2 linked regions of the Rhinolophus ferrumequinum genome follow. The protein of the gene in region 2 binds, or shares a complex with, the protein of the main gene of each other region. Links are inferred from orthologs where the notes say so. Each region holds a gene or a part of one and is shown on either strand. Other genes may lie near its edges.

Region 1 (7,384 bases), on a different chromosome or scaffold from region 2:
TATTGGCTAATAAAAAAGAACTGATATTCTAAAGAATGATCTCAAATTGGGGCAGAAATCTCACTCTCAGGCTCCTAGTACTTCCTAAGGCAGGAAAGCAGGATAATTTTCAACATAGACTAAACCATGGTGTAGTCCAGGTAGCCAGAAAAAAATAATCTGACTACAACATCCCATTCTCCAAGCATTTTTACAACATTAGAAGTAAATTCAATTTCCCATTAGTCAGTAAAATAGTTTCTCATGGGAAAAACACATTGTACTTGCAAAAAGCTTTCAATCTATCAAGTATCAATTACTACCACTTGCTACAAGGTTAAATTTAAATTGGCTATCTTTGAATAGTATGTTGATCCCATCCTGAATAAATTAGCCTCTTTAAATGCTGTTTTTTCCCAGAAGTTTTGAAATCTGAATTAGGAGAAACAGATCATTCAGAAAGGATTATTTCTTTACCGTGTAATGGACTGGGAATGTCATTTTCCATTATTTTCCTATATGATGTGAACTGTGAGAATTCCTGGTAGATTTACACATCAGAAAAATATAAACAAAGCTTACCTGACTATTTAATTTTTTTGTTATAAGTACTATGTCCACCACAAAAGCTGTAAAATTGAACTGTACCTTTCACCCTAGGCTGTAAATACAACTAATTCACTGATACAAAAATGTGACATGTTATCTCTTTACAAATCAAACTGAAATGTAATTCCATCTTTGAACACAAAGATTTTGTTATACTCTTTTTAAAAAGTACACTCTCTTCTCTTTTGCCTGCACTATCATCTGGCTGGATGCAAATAAGGGATAGATAACTCTTCTGTATACAGGTTTGGACAACATGGCTTCTGAATGATGCAAAACTCAGAAAATCAGGTTTGGGTGTTTTAGCCTGGGGGAGTTTTCACTTTCCGTCCTGAAAGTTTATAATCTTGGTCCGATTTTATCAAAACTGCATGTGTCACAAACTTACGTGACAACTGAAACTGAGCAAGCAGAAAAGACACTGAAATCCATGGAGCTGCAATCGGGATCACAACAGCAGTTGACGTCACACTGTGCTGGGGACAAGTCACAGACACAAAGAGCAGCAACTACAGAAAGACAGGTGGGATACAGAGCATCACAATCTGCAGGTAGTGACCGCGCCCCCTGCCACTGCAATGTACCAAAAGTCCATTTCATACAAAAGGCCCATTTGGTTTTTCCTATTGCAATTTGGGGGAAATTTACGAAGTGAAAATCAATCAGTTCCAGCACTCCTCAAGCTGGGGTTTCCCCAAAGTGGCCAACCATCTCACTCACTTGGAACGTTGTTTGTGCTCTATATACAAAGACTCTGATCTGGTAAGCTGACTGTGAAACCCAGACATCCGTGTTGTTCAAAAACTTTCCAGGTGATGCTGATAACTCAGACAGGTTTAAGAACCAGCAAACTAAATCACTTGCCTGACCATAAGAACCACCGGTTTAATACTGCAGATTCCCAAATTCCTCCCCTAGAGATTGATTCAGAGGAAGGGCCCACTTAAGGCCACCAGGAATCAAGGTTCTCAATCTTCTTTCTCTCCTCAGACATCACCTGCAGTTTTGAGGCTGAGCCCACATTAGCAGGCTATTTATTGGCCAAGAATCAAAATGACTCAAGTGCTTTATACTTGGGGCCGTAGGAATATCTCTAGTAATATAGACAATAAAGCATGGGGAAAGGTAGCAACTTTTAATTTTTTAATAATGACGACTATCTGGATTTTTAATTCCCTATTTTAATCTGTCAAATGGGGGGTGGGAACCCCTTTTAAAGAAATAACAGAGCATGAGAATGATAAACTCTGAACTCATAGCAGTAATTATTTCTGGGTAGGCAGGAAACACATTAGCACTTCAATATTAACCTGCAATGTTTTCTTTTTTTCAAAAGGATTTCATGCAAAAACAACCCCCCCCAAAAAAAGGATCTCAAGTAAATGCTGGAAGAGAGTCCATAAAACATTCTTATTCGCATGTATGAATTATTTCATAATAAAAATGACTTTTAGAAAAATGTAGCTCAAAAAAGGTACAATAACATACTCTGGAAAGAAGTGTGTAAGGACAAAGGGAAGGTTTTGTCAATAAATACAAAATCCTCTCGTAGTCTGAAACACAAAAGTTTTCCCACTTAAGTTTTTTAATTTTTTAAAGATGAATCCTAAAAAGTGGACATAACCCTTCACCCCACAACTTCCCATCTCGAACTCAACACAAGAGGAATTCGGGGTTTTCATAATTCAAGTTAACAGACAGTGAGATTTCACCTGGTTACATTTAGTAAGGTAAACTTTTGGGGTCTCTTTTTGGTAAGTGAAAAGTTCAGTGCATCCTATGCATTTAATTTCCACAACTGTCTAGACACTTTCGGTTTAATTGCGACTTTGGCTGCAAAGGCTCATTTATTATTACCTTGCGCATGAATGTTGTCCAAGACCTCTGCAAGTACTTTCAAGGATTTGATATTGTCCCAATTAAAGCTCTGTTAGCCTCGGCTTTCTCATCTGTATGGCAAGGATAATATCTACCTCTGAAGGTTGTTGAGAGAATTAATGCCTATGAAACGCTTAGCAATGCCTGCACAAAGTAAGTGTTCAATAAACGGTAACTATCATTATTATTACATCCTCATCCGGGCTACCCCTCCAGGATGGATCACTCTGGATCCCCAGGATTTGGCATTTAGTACCCACCATCCGTGACTGGGGTGGGCCTGGGACCGGAGAAGGGCCCGGGGACCCTGGGGAGTCCCGGGGGCCTAGGAGACAAGGCAGGTCGGAAATTCGTCGGGGATGGCTCCGTAGAGTTGAGAGCCTCCGTCGTCACCGCCAGGGTGGCCCCGGCCTGGGCGCGCACAGAGGCCCAGCAGTCCATAAGTACCAGCAAGAGCGGATGGAAGCCGAGGGGCGACATCGCCGCCGCGAACCCGTGCGGCCAGCGGTAGGGACCGCGCGTTGCCTGGCAACCACAGCGGCCGGCGCGGGGCTTCACGGGAAGTATCCTGCGAAGACACGCGAGACTGGGGCTGAGGGCGGGGCCTGGGTGAGGCGGGCCACCGCGGGACTGTGCGACAAGGGGCGGTGAGAGACCGGTCGGCGGAGACTAGAGGTTTGTGTATATCAGATTTGCGGTTCCCAAGCCGACTGGGGCGCTTGTTTAAAAAATGCGGATTTCCAAATTCCATCTCAGGGGATTCTGACTCAGACAGTTTTGGGCAGGGTCCAGGAATCAATATTTTCAACAAATGTCCGGACGCAACCGGTGGGGGGACAGAAATTTGGGACGCTACTAAATAAGGTCTTTTGAAGGAGCACAGAGATGACATCACCATCCTTGAATTTTCTCTATCCCACACTGTCACCACTTGGTTTGCCTTTTTTGTTTTATCTCGCAGCAGGTCGCCAGATAACTTCAGCTCGTTGTGTTGTGATAAAGGGGACAAATGAACACTTAACTTTTTTACAGTCAAAAAACATTGACAAAAATTAAGTGGAATGACTTACAAGTATTAAAAGGAAAAAAATCAAAGCAACTCTGTAACTCTAAAAATGACTTGAAGACTACAAAATTAGGGGAGCCCCTCCATTCCAAAGTGACTTATGTACAGAGATACTCCGGCCCAGGATGTTTGCAATACCTTTGATACTTAATATCCTTGTAATTCAGAAGTAAATGTCAGAATACTTAAACATATCATGGTATTTATTTAAAAAACACATTTACCAGTTTAGAAGAATGCCCAAACAGTATATATATCTAGTTTATTGAATTTATATAGCAAAGCTAAATCATCAAAGGGACATCTTTAGTACTTTTCTGTGGCATTCCAAAGTGTATAAAAATGTAATTGAATCAAATGTGTAATACTGATATTTCCTTTTTTATTTTCTACAAAGGATTGCTTTAACATGTGACTGAAATTCTGGACTACTTTTAATAACTGATGTAATGCTTACCTTTAACAAAAACAACAACTATATTTTCCAAACTTTCATCCCATAACTCTAAATCCAGCACTATTGTTTTTTAAAAACCTGTTTACTTCTAGATACTTTCTTTTCTATTCCTTAATATCTGTGAATCACTCTGTCCTATTTTCTGTTTTGAAACTTTAGGCTGTTAGATTAAATTTAACATTGTCATCTTTATGCTTTATGGTTTAGGAAATAATCTCACCACCCCGTTTGTCCACTCTCAGATACTTGGGAGATGACCCAAACGTAATTTTATGACAGTTTAGAAAATCGAAATGAGGGTTGAATCACCTCAGATCCATTTTGCAAACCTTGGGAACGCTAAACTTGTCATTTCACAGGTGACCCATTTCTGCCACGCTTTTTTCATCTTTCAACCCAGATGATCCTTTCTCCCTTCCTTCTCCCCTGGCCTTGGTAGGTTCCCTTATTAGGATGGAAGGACACAAGGAAGGGCTAAGATTTCCATATTTTGTCCAAAACTGCAACATTTAGGTTGTAGGGTAAATGTTTGTGATTAAAAATGTCCATCTGTTTCTCCTAGATTATTGGCATTCTCAATTCCTCATAGTCTGTGCCAACATTGGGAGGAATCAGGACAATTCAGCTTTTTGGAATTTTGTACTTGGAAGCTGCCACATATGAGGAGGCTGAAAACAAACCAAAGACAGAAGTACTAGCTAGGCAGAAAAATAGCTAAGGCTGACTTTACAAGGCCGGGTTAACCAGTCGGTCTTGGTGTTTCCTGTGGTTTGGGATGAATTGGTTATTATTATTATTATCGCTAGAGTCATAGTTTCTAAGCTGTTTTAGAAACAGTTTTTCCTATGATCAAGTATATCTACCCATCTTTATTCATCTGAGCCAAATATTTTACAAATAAGAAGGCAGAATCATCAAGCTTTATAAAGGGATTGCTTAGACCTACAGGGAGGTCCAGGCTGTGTAAGGACAAAGGATTGACTCTATTGTTTTGATTGAAGTGAGCAATCTAGCAATAGATTTCTAGATCAGCACTCAGAAGAAAGCAATCCTCAACTTCTCTACTCCTCCCATTCCCCAAGTGCTTAGTCAACCACCAGTGCTATTCTTGCTCTTCAGATGTTGTCTGAAACATGAGGGCAAGAAGGCCTATTGAGCAGACTTCACTATCTTGAAAGGTTTCAAATGTACAAGTTTGACCTTTTCTGAAAATGAAGTTATAAATACGGTCACAGACATAACACTGACAGGAATGAAATAAGAATTCCTTGTTTATCAGACAACTTTAAACTTGCGTCCTATTAGACCATACTGCAGTTTGAATAAACTAGTTAGCTTTTTAAGAATCATTATTGTTTTTATTATTTTCAGATTGAAGCATTTCAATCACAATGAAAGGTACAAAAAAGAACACTGTACACTGGACCAAGACCATGCAGATTAGAACTTTTGTCATATTTACCCCACTTTTCTTTTTAGTTTTATTGAGGGATAACTTAATACAGTATAAATTTTTATGTACAGTTTCTGATATCCAGGTTTTTCTCATGCATCAATGTACATTTTTTTTGGTGTACAGTTTTATGAGTTTTAACAAACACATACAGTCATGTGATCCCAACCACAATCAAGGCATAGAACAATATTACCACTCCCAAAAGTTCCCTCATGCCCCTTAATAGTCCCTCCCGCCATCCCAGCCCTTGATGACACTGATCTATTTTCTCTCCCTATGGTTTTCCCTTTTCCAGAATGTCACATCAGTGGAAGCATAGAGAATGCAGCCTTTTGAGCCTGACTTCTTTCATTTAGCCTAATGCCTTTGAGATTCATCCATCTTGCATGTATGAGTATCAACAATCCATTCCTTTGATGATGATGATGATTGTAAAAAAAACATACAACATTAAATTTGCCATCTTAATCATTTTTCAAGTGTACAATTCAGTACTGCTAAGTGTTTTCACATTGTTGTGAAACAGATGTCTAAAACTTTTTCATCTTACAACACTGAAACTCTGTAGCCACTAAACACTAATTCCACCTTCACCTTCCCCCCAGCCCTTGGTAACCACCTTTCTACTTTCTATTTCTTTAATTTTGACTACTTTAGCTACTTTATATGAGTGGAATCATACAATACTTGTCCGTTTGTGACTGGCAAGTTACACTTAGCATAATGTCCTTAAGGGTCATCCAGGTGGTAGCAGGTGACAGGATTTATTTTTTAAGGCCACATGATACTCCATTGTATGCGTATATCTCATTTTCTTTATCCTTTCATCTGTGGATAGACATTTGGGTGGCTTCCACCTCTTACCTATTGTGAATAATGCTGCTATGTACATGGGTGTGCAAATATCTCTTTGGAACCCTGCTTTGAATTCCTTTGGACGTATACCAGAAGTGGGATTGCTGGATCAAATGTAATCTGTTTAAAAATTTTTTTAGGAACCTCCATACTGTTTTCCACAATGGCTGCGCTATTTTACATTCCCACCAACAATGTACAAGAGTTCCAACTTTTCCACATCCAACATTTATGATTTTCTCTTCTTTTGATAGTAGCATCCTGACAGGTGTGAGGTAATAGCTCACTGTGGTTTTGATTTGCGTTTCCCTAATGATTAGTGATGTAGAGCATCTTTTCTTGTGCTTATTGGCCATTTGTATCTCTCCTTTGGAGAAATGTCTATTCAAGTCCTTTGCCAATTTTTTAATCAGCATTTTGTTGTTGCTGAGTTGTAGGAGCTCCTTATATATTCTGGATATTAATCCCTTATCAGATATATGATTTGCAATCATTTTCTCCTATTCCATAGGTTGTCTTTTCACTGTTGAATGTCTCTTTTGATATACAGAAGTTTTTTAGTTTGATGTAGTCCCATTTGTCTATTTTTCCTTTTGTTGTCTGTGCTTTTGGTGTCATAGTCAAGAAATCATTACCAAATCCAATGTTCAAGCTTTTCTCTGATTCAGTTTTCTTCTAGGAATGTAATAGTTTTAGGCCTTGCATTTAGGTATTTACACCATTTGAGTTAATTTTTGTATATAGTGTCAGGTAAGGGTCTAACTTCATTCTTTTACATGTGGATATCCAGTTTTTAACCATTTGTTGAAGAGATTGGCCTTTCCTCATTGTGTAGTCTTGGCACCCGTGTTAAAAATCAGTTGGCCATATATGCAAGAGTTTATTTCAATCCACTCCTTTTTATTGCTGACAAGTGTTCCATAATGGATATGTGACAATTTCTTCTTTGCCAGTTGAAGTAATTTGAGGTTTTCCAGTTTTTGGCAATGACATATAAGACAGTTTTTAAACATTCACATACAGGTTTTGTGTGAACATGCATTTTCATTTCTTTTGGGTACATACCTAGGAGTGAGATTTCTGA
Region 2 (7,300 bases):
GGACAAAATTATACAAGTTTTTCACATGCCCTTCAGGATTCTCTATTCCTGGCCTGCCTACCGCTACAGCTTCAAATCAAGACCAATGTTCCCTGAGATCCCTAGATTCGAGCTATACCACTCTTCTAGATCCTCTGTCAGAACAAGCTCCTTTCCATGCGAAGCTGCTTCTCCCCATTTGGAAGCTTCTTAACTCTTCTAAGCTCTCTGGTGGAAGTTTCCTCTAACCCCTCGCCTGACTTGTATTAAGCTGCCTGTTTAAATGCTGCCTCTAAAGTGGACTGTTTCTCGACAACCTCGTCTAAATTTCTGTTTCTCACATAGGAGACTATTTTTTTCCTTCACAACACTTAACCCAACTTGAAATTGTACAATTACTTGTATATCTACATAAATAAACATACCATCCGTCTCTTTCACTATACTATGTGGTTTATAACTATATCCCCAGCTACTACTGTGTTTCCCCAAAAATAAGACCTAACTTGAAAATAAACCCTGATGCGTCTTTTGGAGCAAAACTTAATATAAGACCCGGTCTTATTTTTGGCGAAACATGGTATCATGCGGTCTGGTCTGTCACAAAATAAATATTCAAAAAAGTATTCAATAAATAATGCTTAATGAATGAGTGAATACCCCAGAACAGGTGTTGGCAAACAACACCTGCAGGCCAGTCACCTGTTTATGTAAATAAAGTTGTATGGAAACAAAGCCATGCCCACTGTGCTAAGAATTGTTATGGCTGCTTTTGTGCTTCAACGGCAGACAGAGTTCAATAGCTGTAGCACAGACCAAGCCTAAAAATATTTATTAGCTTGCTTTAAAAAAAAAGTTTGCCTCTGACTGCTTAGAGTAAAACATCCATTTTGAAAGGAAAGAATGAAAACTAACCATATGCTGTAATTATTATTTACTCTGTCCAGCTGAGTCGCAAACTGCCATCCATTGAATACTATTAACCTTAATCACCAATATCAAATAGAAAATTGAATACTGAACACTTAAGTATCTCTAAATGTTAATATTTGGTTGATGACATCTACTTTATTCATTAATCTATTAAAGTATCCCTTAAAATAATCCAAAATTTAAAGTAAGTAAATAATATGGATTGTATACATACATTTCATGCAAGTCTCACCGGTGAGCATATCTCAGCTTTATGGGGAACACTGCGTTGTAACATAAAGCATTAATTCAATCAGGAGCCTATTAAAACAAAGAGGATTTATTTGGAATATGAAAGTTCCAAACAAAAATTGTATTCTTCAGGCATAATTATGTCATTGTTTATACCAATCAGTTTTAACTCATCATGTTTATACCAGTTTCTCTCATCTCAATCGTATGCAAATAACTTGAGTACATTTGGATCAGTTTAGAGCACAAAATAAAGTGAAGAAGCAAACTGGATCATATTTGAATAAAATACTTACATTTTTAAAACAAAAACAATTTTTAAATTTTGAAAGGCAGTAAACATCTAACTTGGTATGTTAACACACTTTTCATTAAATGTTTTAAGTAAAAAATGAACATTTCAATGCATTTTTAAGAAACCAAATTCCATCTCAGGATTGACTTTCCTAAGAGCATACACTCTTATATTAGTAACCTATGCTTGTGGGGAGCACATTCACAGACAATGAATTTACAACTCTGTGCCTGTGCTCGCCTTGGCAGTACATATACTAACAACCTCTGTGCCTACCACTGAAAATGCTACTGCAGTAGAAAAGCTTAGCAGAAACATTCATCCTCTTTCTCAAATAAATACCTGCGTGTGTATTATTAAGTATCAAAACCATGAGTAACCAGTACATATATACCTGAGTTTCCAATTTTACTCAAAGAGATGGAGGTGTGTCCAAAACAAACAATTCTCACATTAGAACATGCTATGCATAGATTTTTAAGAGTAAAACTGAAGACATTAAAAAGAAAAGAGAAACATAATTTGAGTTGGCTCAGCAATGATCAGTTAAGGCTCCAGATCCCTGGGGTCCATATTCCTTTTCCTTTGGTATCAGGGCATTTTGGACAGAAAAGACTGAGAAAAAAATGGTAGAAAGAAAAAAAAATGATTATACATATACACCTAATTATGGGAGTTCACTTATGTGAACTCCATCTAGTATGCAGATAAAAGACATCACTAAATCCACATAGCAAAAACTCCTATACTTTAGTGTAAGAGCCTATACTCATATTTACATTTTAGTAAATACAGATTTAATAAGCCTGGCCATCTATTTTCCAGTTATCCCAAATTCGAAAAGAGAGAGGCTGCACAACCATTTGGTAGGGATTTGTAAATAGCCTACGTATTTTTTCTATTTTTATACCTATCAAAAAGACCCTATTCATGTAATTCGACTCTTATAAACGTAAAGCATCGATCACATTTTCTCAGATGTAATTAACAAGGTATTCAAAGGTTCAATATTCAGCACCAGGTTGGCATCCTAAAAAGAACGAAGCGAACTTACAACGCATCTGATTTAAAAGCATTTAAACCATAATCGGACGTAGGAGAAGCAAAGATTACATTCACTCCTTCAGGACACGGCGCCGAAGTCCGGAGCCAAGAAGTCCAGGCGAGGGAGCAGAAAAGTATGCTGATGTATTTCCCCAAAACCACATCCATCCGCTCGGCGGCGCTTGGCCGCTAAGCTTGCAGTGGCGCAGTGCCACCTCCACGCCCTCGGATCCACACAGCCCCCCACGCCACTGCCCCCCGGGAAGGCCGGGGCCGACCGAGTGCCTGGGCCCGGGCTCCCGCCACCAGCGCGCCTGCTGCGTACTCACGGGTAGGAGAGCGCAGTACGGCAGACAGCCCGTCTCGCCAGAGCCAACCCCGGGACAATGCGAAGCGGCTTCCCGCGCTACGAGGAGCCCGCTGGGCGTAAAACGGCAACAGGGCTACCCCCGCCGCCAGTAACCCCGGCTCTGAAAAAGCGGTGGAAGCCGCAGTGCAGACAGCGCGCCGCCCGCTGACGTCAGCTCCTACCTACGCCACCGTTCCCTTGACAACCGATGCGGCCCAGCCTGGACCGCTGCCCTGCTTCCCGCCCCTCGGCTGTCCCCGCCCTGCGCCGCCTCCGTCTCCGCCCGTAGGTCCAGACGTGCGGCGCCTGCAGAGGCGGCGTGCGTGCGCGCCCGCCCGTTCGCGAAGCCACAGACTGCCGCCGGGAACGCGCTCCGGAACCGGAGTCCGAGCGGAAAGCTCAAGGCCGCTGTGCGGCCCTAAAAGGGAGAAGAATCCACTACCTCTGAACGGCAAGGGGCCCCGGGGATGCGCAGGTGCCCCTGGAGCCTCAGCCCGCCCCCCAAAAGCGTCTCTGCGCCTTTGGCCTGCAACCAGCGCTGGGTAAAGCGGTAGGGGGCAGAGCGAGCTGGGAACGCGCCAAACCTAGGAAACGTGAATGAGGGGAAGAAACAGATTCATCACTCCCCACGCGATGGCGCCCCAAAATGAAACATTCTTTTAAGCGTGGAGAATGAAAAGTTGTACTACAGATCAAATCTTAAGGAAAAAATTGGCCACGATTCATTTGGCGGTGAGTTATCTCACTATGTATTTAAAGCAGAACAAAAACGTCATCTTTTTTCCACACCCAATACCCCCTCCCACTTGCTAATTTCTGCCCCAAGCGCCATCTTTAGCCCTGAGTCACCAGGGATGGAAAAATACTAGACAAGTCACTCTTCGACTCTGGAATTTTCTGTAGTTGTACTCACGCACTATAATAACCTGTTGCTTCGTTTGTACATTGAGAGCCTATTTGGAGGCCAGCTTTTCCATTCCCATTGGCATCACCGTACGTTACAAAGCACATCTCATTTAGTGTTTCTCCAAATCCTGTGAGAAGGCGCTGAGAAATATTACCAGTCCAGTGCGTCTCAAAGTGAACTGGTCACCTTTCCACTCAAAACCTACTTCCCTTTCCGGACTACTATCTTGGTTTAAGCCACCATCATCCTTCCAGGGTTGTAGTTAGACACGTATGGAACATCCTAAATACCTCTCACACCCAATTATGTCCATTCTACCTTTTTAACGTCCCCAGTGTACAGCTGATCCATCGTAACCCCCCCTACACCCCCCCTGCCTAAAGCCAGCCTTCATGGCTTCACAGGGATTATAATAAGAGGGCCTCTTTATCAGTGCCCTGACCCGTTTGGATCACTGAATTCCATTCTCCACACTGCTAACCAGAATGAGCTCACTAAAAATATAAATCTGATAATGCCACTCTCCTGAAAATTTTTCGAAGATGATCTGTAGGAGAAAACTCTAGTTATTTTGCCTATAATACAAGACACTCCATCTCCCTGACTAGTTTCATTTCTCATTGCCTTGTTTCTGTGTTATGCTTCAGCAATATTGAAGTAGGTGCACCACAACAATCTATTGCACAGATTGTGCTCTTTCCCTGAAAAGCCCTCCTTATAAACTTGTACTTCTGCGTGTCTCAGCCCAAATGTTGTCCATCCTTTGAATCTTAAGTAGGTTGAGTAATTCCTCCAAACACTCCTACTATATATCCTATTATGCTTTGGACACTCATTCTTTTTTAATATTTTAATTGTTTGCGTTGTACTTTAGTTTGTGTAGGCCCAGCATGAAGCACAGTACCTATTAAATAATGTGCTGCTTCATGAACCTTTGTGAACGAGTAATGGATGACATACGAGGTCTGTCAATTAAGTTCACGATATTGCTAACTTTTTTTGATATCAGAAGGATTATTCATTATGAATTTGTACCAACTGGATACATAGTTAACCAAGTTTACTATTTGGAAGTGCTGAAAAGGCTGCCTGAAAAAGTTAGATGAAACAACCTGAATTTTTCGCCAACAATTCATGGCTCTTGCATCACGACAATGCACCAGCTTACACGGCACTGTCTGTGAGGGAGTTTTTAGCCAGTAAACAAATAACTGTATTGGAACACCCTCCCTACTCATCTGATCTGGCCCCAATGACTTCTTTCTTTACCCGAAGATAAAGGAAATACTGAAAGAAGACATTTTGATGACATTCAGGACATCAAGGGTAATATGATGACAGCTCTGATGGCCATTCCAGAAAAAGACTTCCAAAATTGCTTCAAAGGGTGGACTAGGTGGCATCGGTGCATAGCTTCCCTAGGGAAGTACTTCGAACATGACCATAGTGATATTCAGCAATGAGGTATGTAGCACTTTTCTAGGATGAGTTCACGAACTTAATTGTCCTACCTTGTATATTGAGCTCCTTCTAGGAGCTATGCATTACAGGTGTTTTATGTACTTTTCATCTGTCCTCACAACTGTGATGTAAGTACCCACTTTTACAAAGAGAGGTTATAACTCTGGCTGCTCATTCTTAGTCAGGTATTTTCATAACACATTCTGCAGTTTATCAGACTGGCTGAGATGTATACCAGTCGTCTCTTGCCCAGACCTTTACAATAGCTTCCCCCGCCCCCCAGGTATAATGGGGGCGGGGTTGGGGGTGGCAGGGAATGTTTCACAACAGAAGTGACATTTAAAAATATGTAGAGTTGTCCAGGTTGGGAACGGTTTCTGGGTAGAAGAAAGTGGGGTATAGAGTTCACTTAAAGAAAACTTGGCACAATCCAAGAACTGAAGTAAATTCAGCATGGCTAACTGAAAAGTCAAGAGTGAGGTGAGGGGCTTTGGGAGAAAGTAAGACAAGAGAGAGAAGCAAGTTATGAAGAGACTCAGTATTATAGGGTCAATGAGATATCATTAAAGATTTTTAACCATGGAATAAAATGGTCAAATTTTAATTTCAGAAAGGTAACTCTGGCTGCAGTGTGGATGATTGATGGGAAGAAAGCAAATTTAGATAATAGGGATATGAGTTAAGATGCTGTTACTGTTAGCTATATAATGGTGGTGATATGGGCAGTCAGAGACGAGAAGTGCACCAATTCAAGAGATTTTTAAGAGATAGAAATGTCAAGACTTGATGATTGATTGGATGGAGGACTGAGTGAAAAGAAGGATTAAAACATGATAACCAGCTCATTTGCCTCCTTCTTGCCAAGTGAAAAGGTAGCAAGCATGTCAGGGCCTGAAGTTTACATGAAAGGGAAGTGAGGAAATAACTATATTGAGGCTAGTGGGAGCCAAGTCTCCCTAACAGAGAAGGGAGTTACAAATAGGGAAAGGAAGCATTCCAGAATGGCCCTTGTGGTGGTATTGGGGTATTGAATATGTAAACTCAGTTTTCAATATATATATATGTGAACACATACGGAAATACAGATAAAAGTATATGTGTATGTAGGTGTGTATTCTATCATCTATCTATCTATCTATCTATCTATCTATCCTCTTAGTTCTATCTGCTGAAAAGGTGTAGGAGCAATGATACCCTAGAAGCAATTATCACACAATGCCTTTTTTTTTTCCCCCCAAGGAGGGCACAGCTCACAGTGGCCCATGTGGGGATCGAACCGGCAACCTTGGAGTTATTAGCACCACGCTCTAACCAACTGAGCTAACCGGCCACCCCCCTAGATCATGGTTCCTAAACACCATTCTCTGCTGAAAGGAACTAGAGCCCCTTGGAGAAATGGCTGATTCCAGAGTAGCAGCAGGGAAAGTACAGCATGAGTCTGGAAAATCTGGTTGAGCTGGAAATTAAGGAAGTTCTCAAAGAATGATGGATCAAGAGGACATAGAAACCAACTGGCAGGAGCCCTCATTGGCCACATCTGGGGCAATCTGAGAACCACTATAGTGTTAATAGATTATGATCCACTGAATAAAATAGAAATAGATGAGTTCATGCTGAAATAAATACATGGATTTTTAAAATGGGGACAAAGAAAAGTTCTTCCCTACCTTAGAATGCTAATTAATGTGTTGAAGGAATAATATAAGTAGAAACATCACCATTGACAACTGTCGCAGCAAAAATTGATTTAGGCAAGAATCATCAATGTATGCCAAAACTAGAGGGTAAGAATTTTGAAAGGAACATAATATTCATATAGTCTCAAAATATCTCCCAATCAAATACTTGTTGATTACAAAGGGTAAAAATAGAAACTTGACAGTGCAGAAATTTGGCACTGGTGACCAAAGTTACTATCCCAGTAATAGGACAAATCAACACTGTGCCACCTAGTGAGAGACACTTATAACACACTGCTGTGATATTTCTGCCAAAACACACCACCTGAATCTAATCTTGAGGAAAGATCAGACAACCCCAAATTGCGGGACATTCTACAAAATAATAGGTGTGTACTCTCAAAAGTATCAAGGTCATAAAA

The links. The genes of interacting proteins can lie anywhere in the genome.
Region 1: AHI1 (region 2) and TCTN1 share a complex: the UniProt entries of both Homo sapiens proteins name them as parts of the tectonic-like complex. The link is inferred for Rhinolophus ferrumequinum from reciprocal best matches to the Homo sapiens genes AHI1 and TCTN1.

Annotation. Positions count from the first base shown.
Region 1 is NC_046308.1:6,242,952-6,250,335, reverse strand, and holds the start of TCTN1 (tectonic-1), read right to left. Parts: upstream 3,008-7,384; 5' UTR 2,947-3,007; coding exon 2,727-2,946; intron 2,611-2,726; exon of another isoform or gene 2,446-2,610; intron 1,098-2,445; coding exon 977-1,097; intron 1-976. UniProt on the Homo sapiens protein: Component of the tectonic-like complex, a complex localized at the transition zone of primary cilia and acting as a barrier that prevents diffusion of transmembrane proteins between the cilia and plasma membranes.
Region 2 is NC_046286.1:81,984,935-81,992,234, forward strand, and holds the start of AHI1 (jouberin), read right to left. Parts: upstream 3,021-7,300; 5' UTR 2,812-3,020; intron 2,718-2,811; exon of another isoform or gene 2,493-2,717; intron 2,054-2,492; exon of another isoform or gene 1,833-2,053; intron 1,213-1,832; 5' UTR 1,155-1,212; coding exon 1,127-1,154; intron 1-1,126. UniProt on the Homo sapiens protein: Involved in vesicle trafficking and required for ciliogenesis, formation of primary non-motile cilium, and recruitment of RAB8A to the basal body of primary cilium.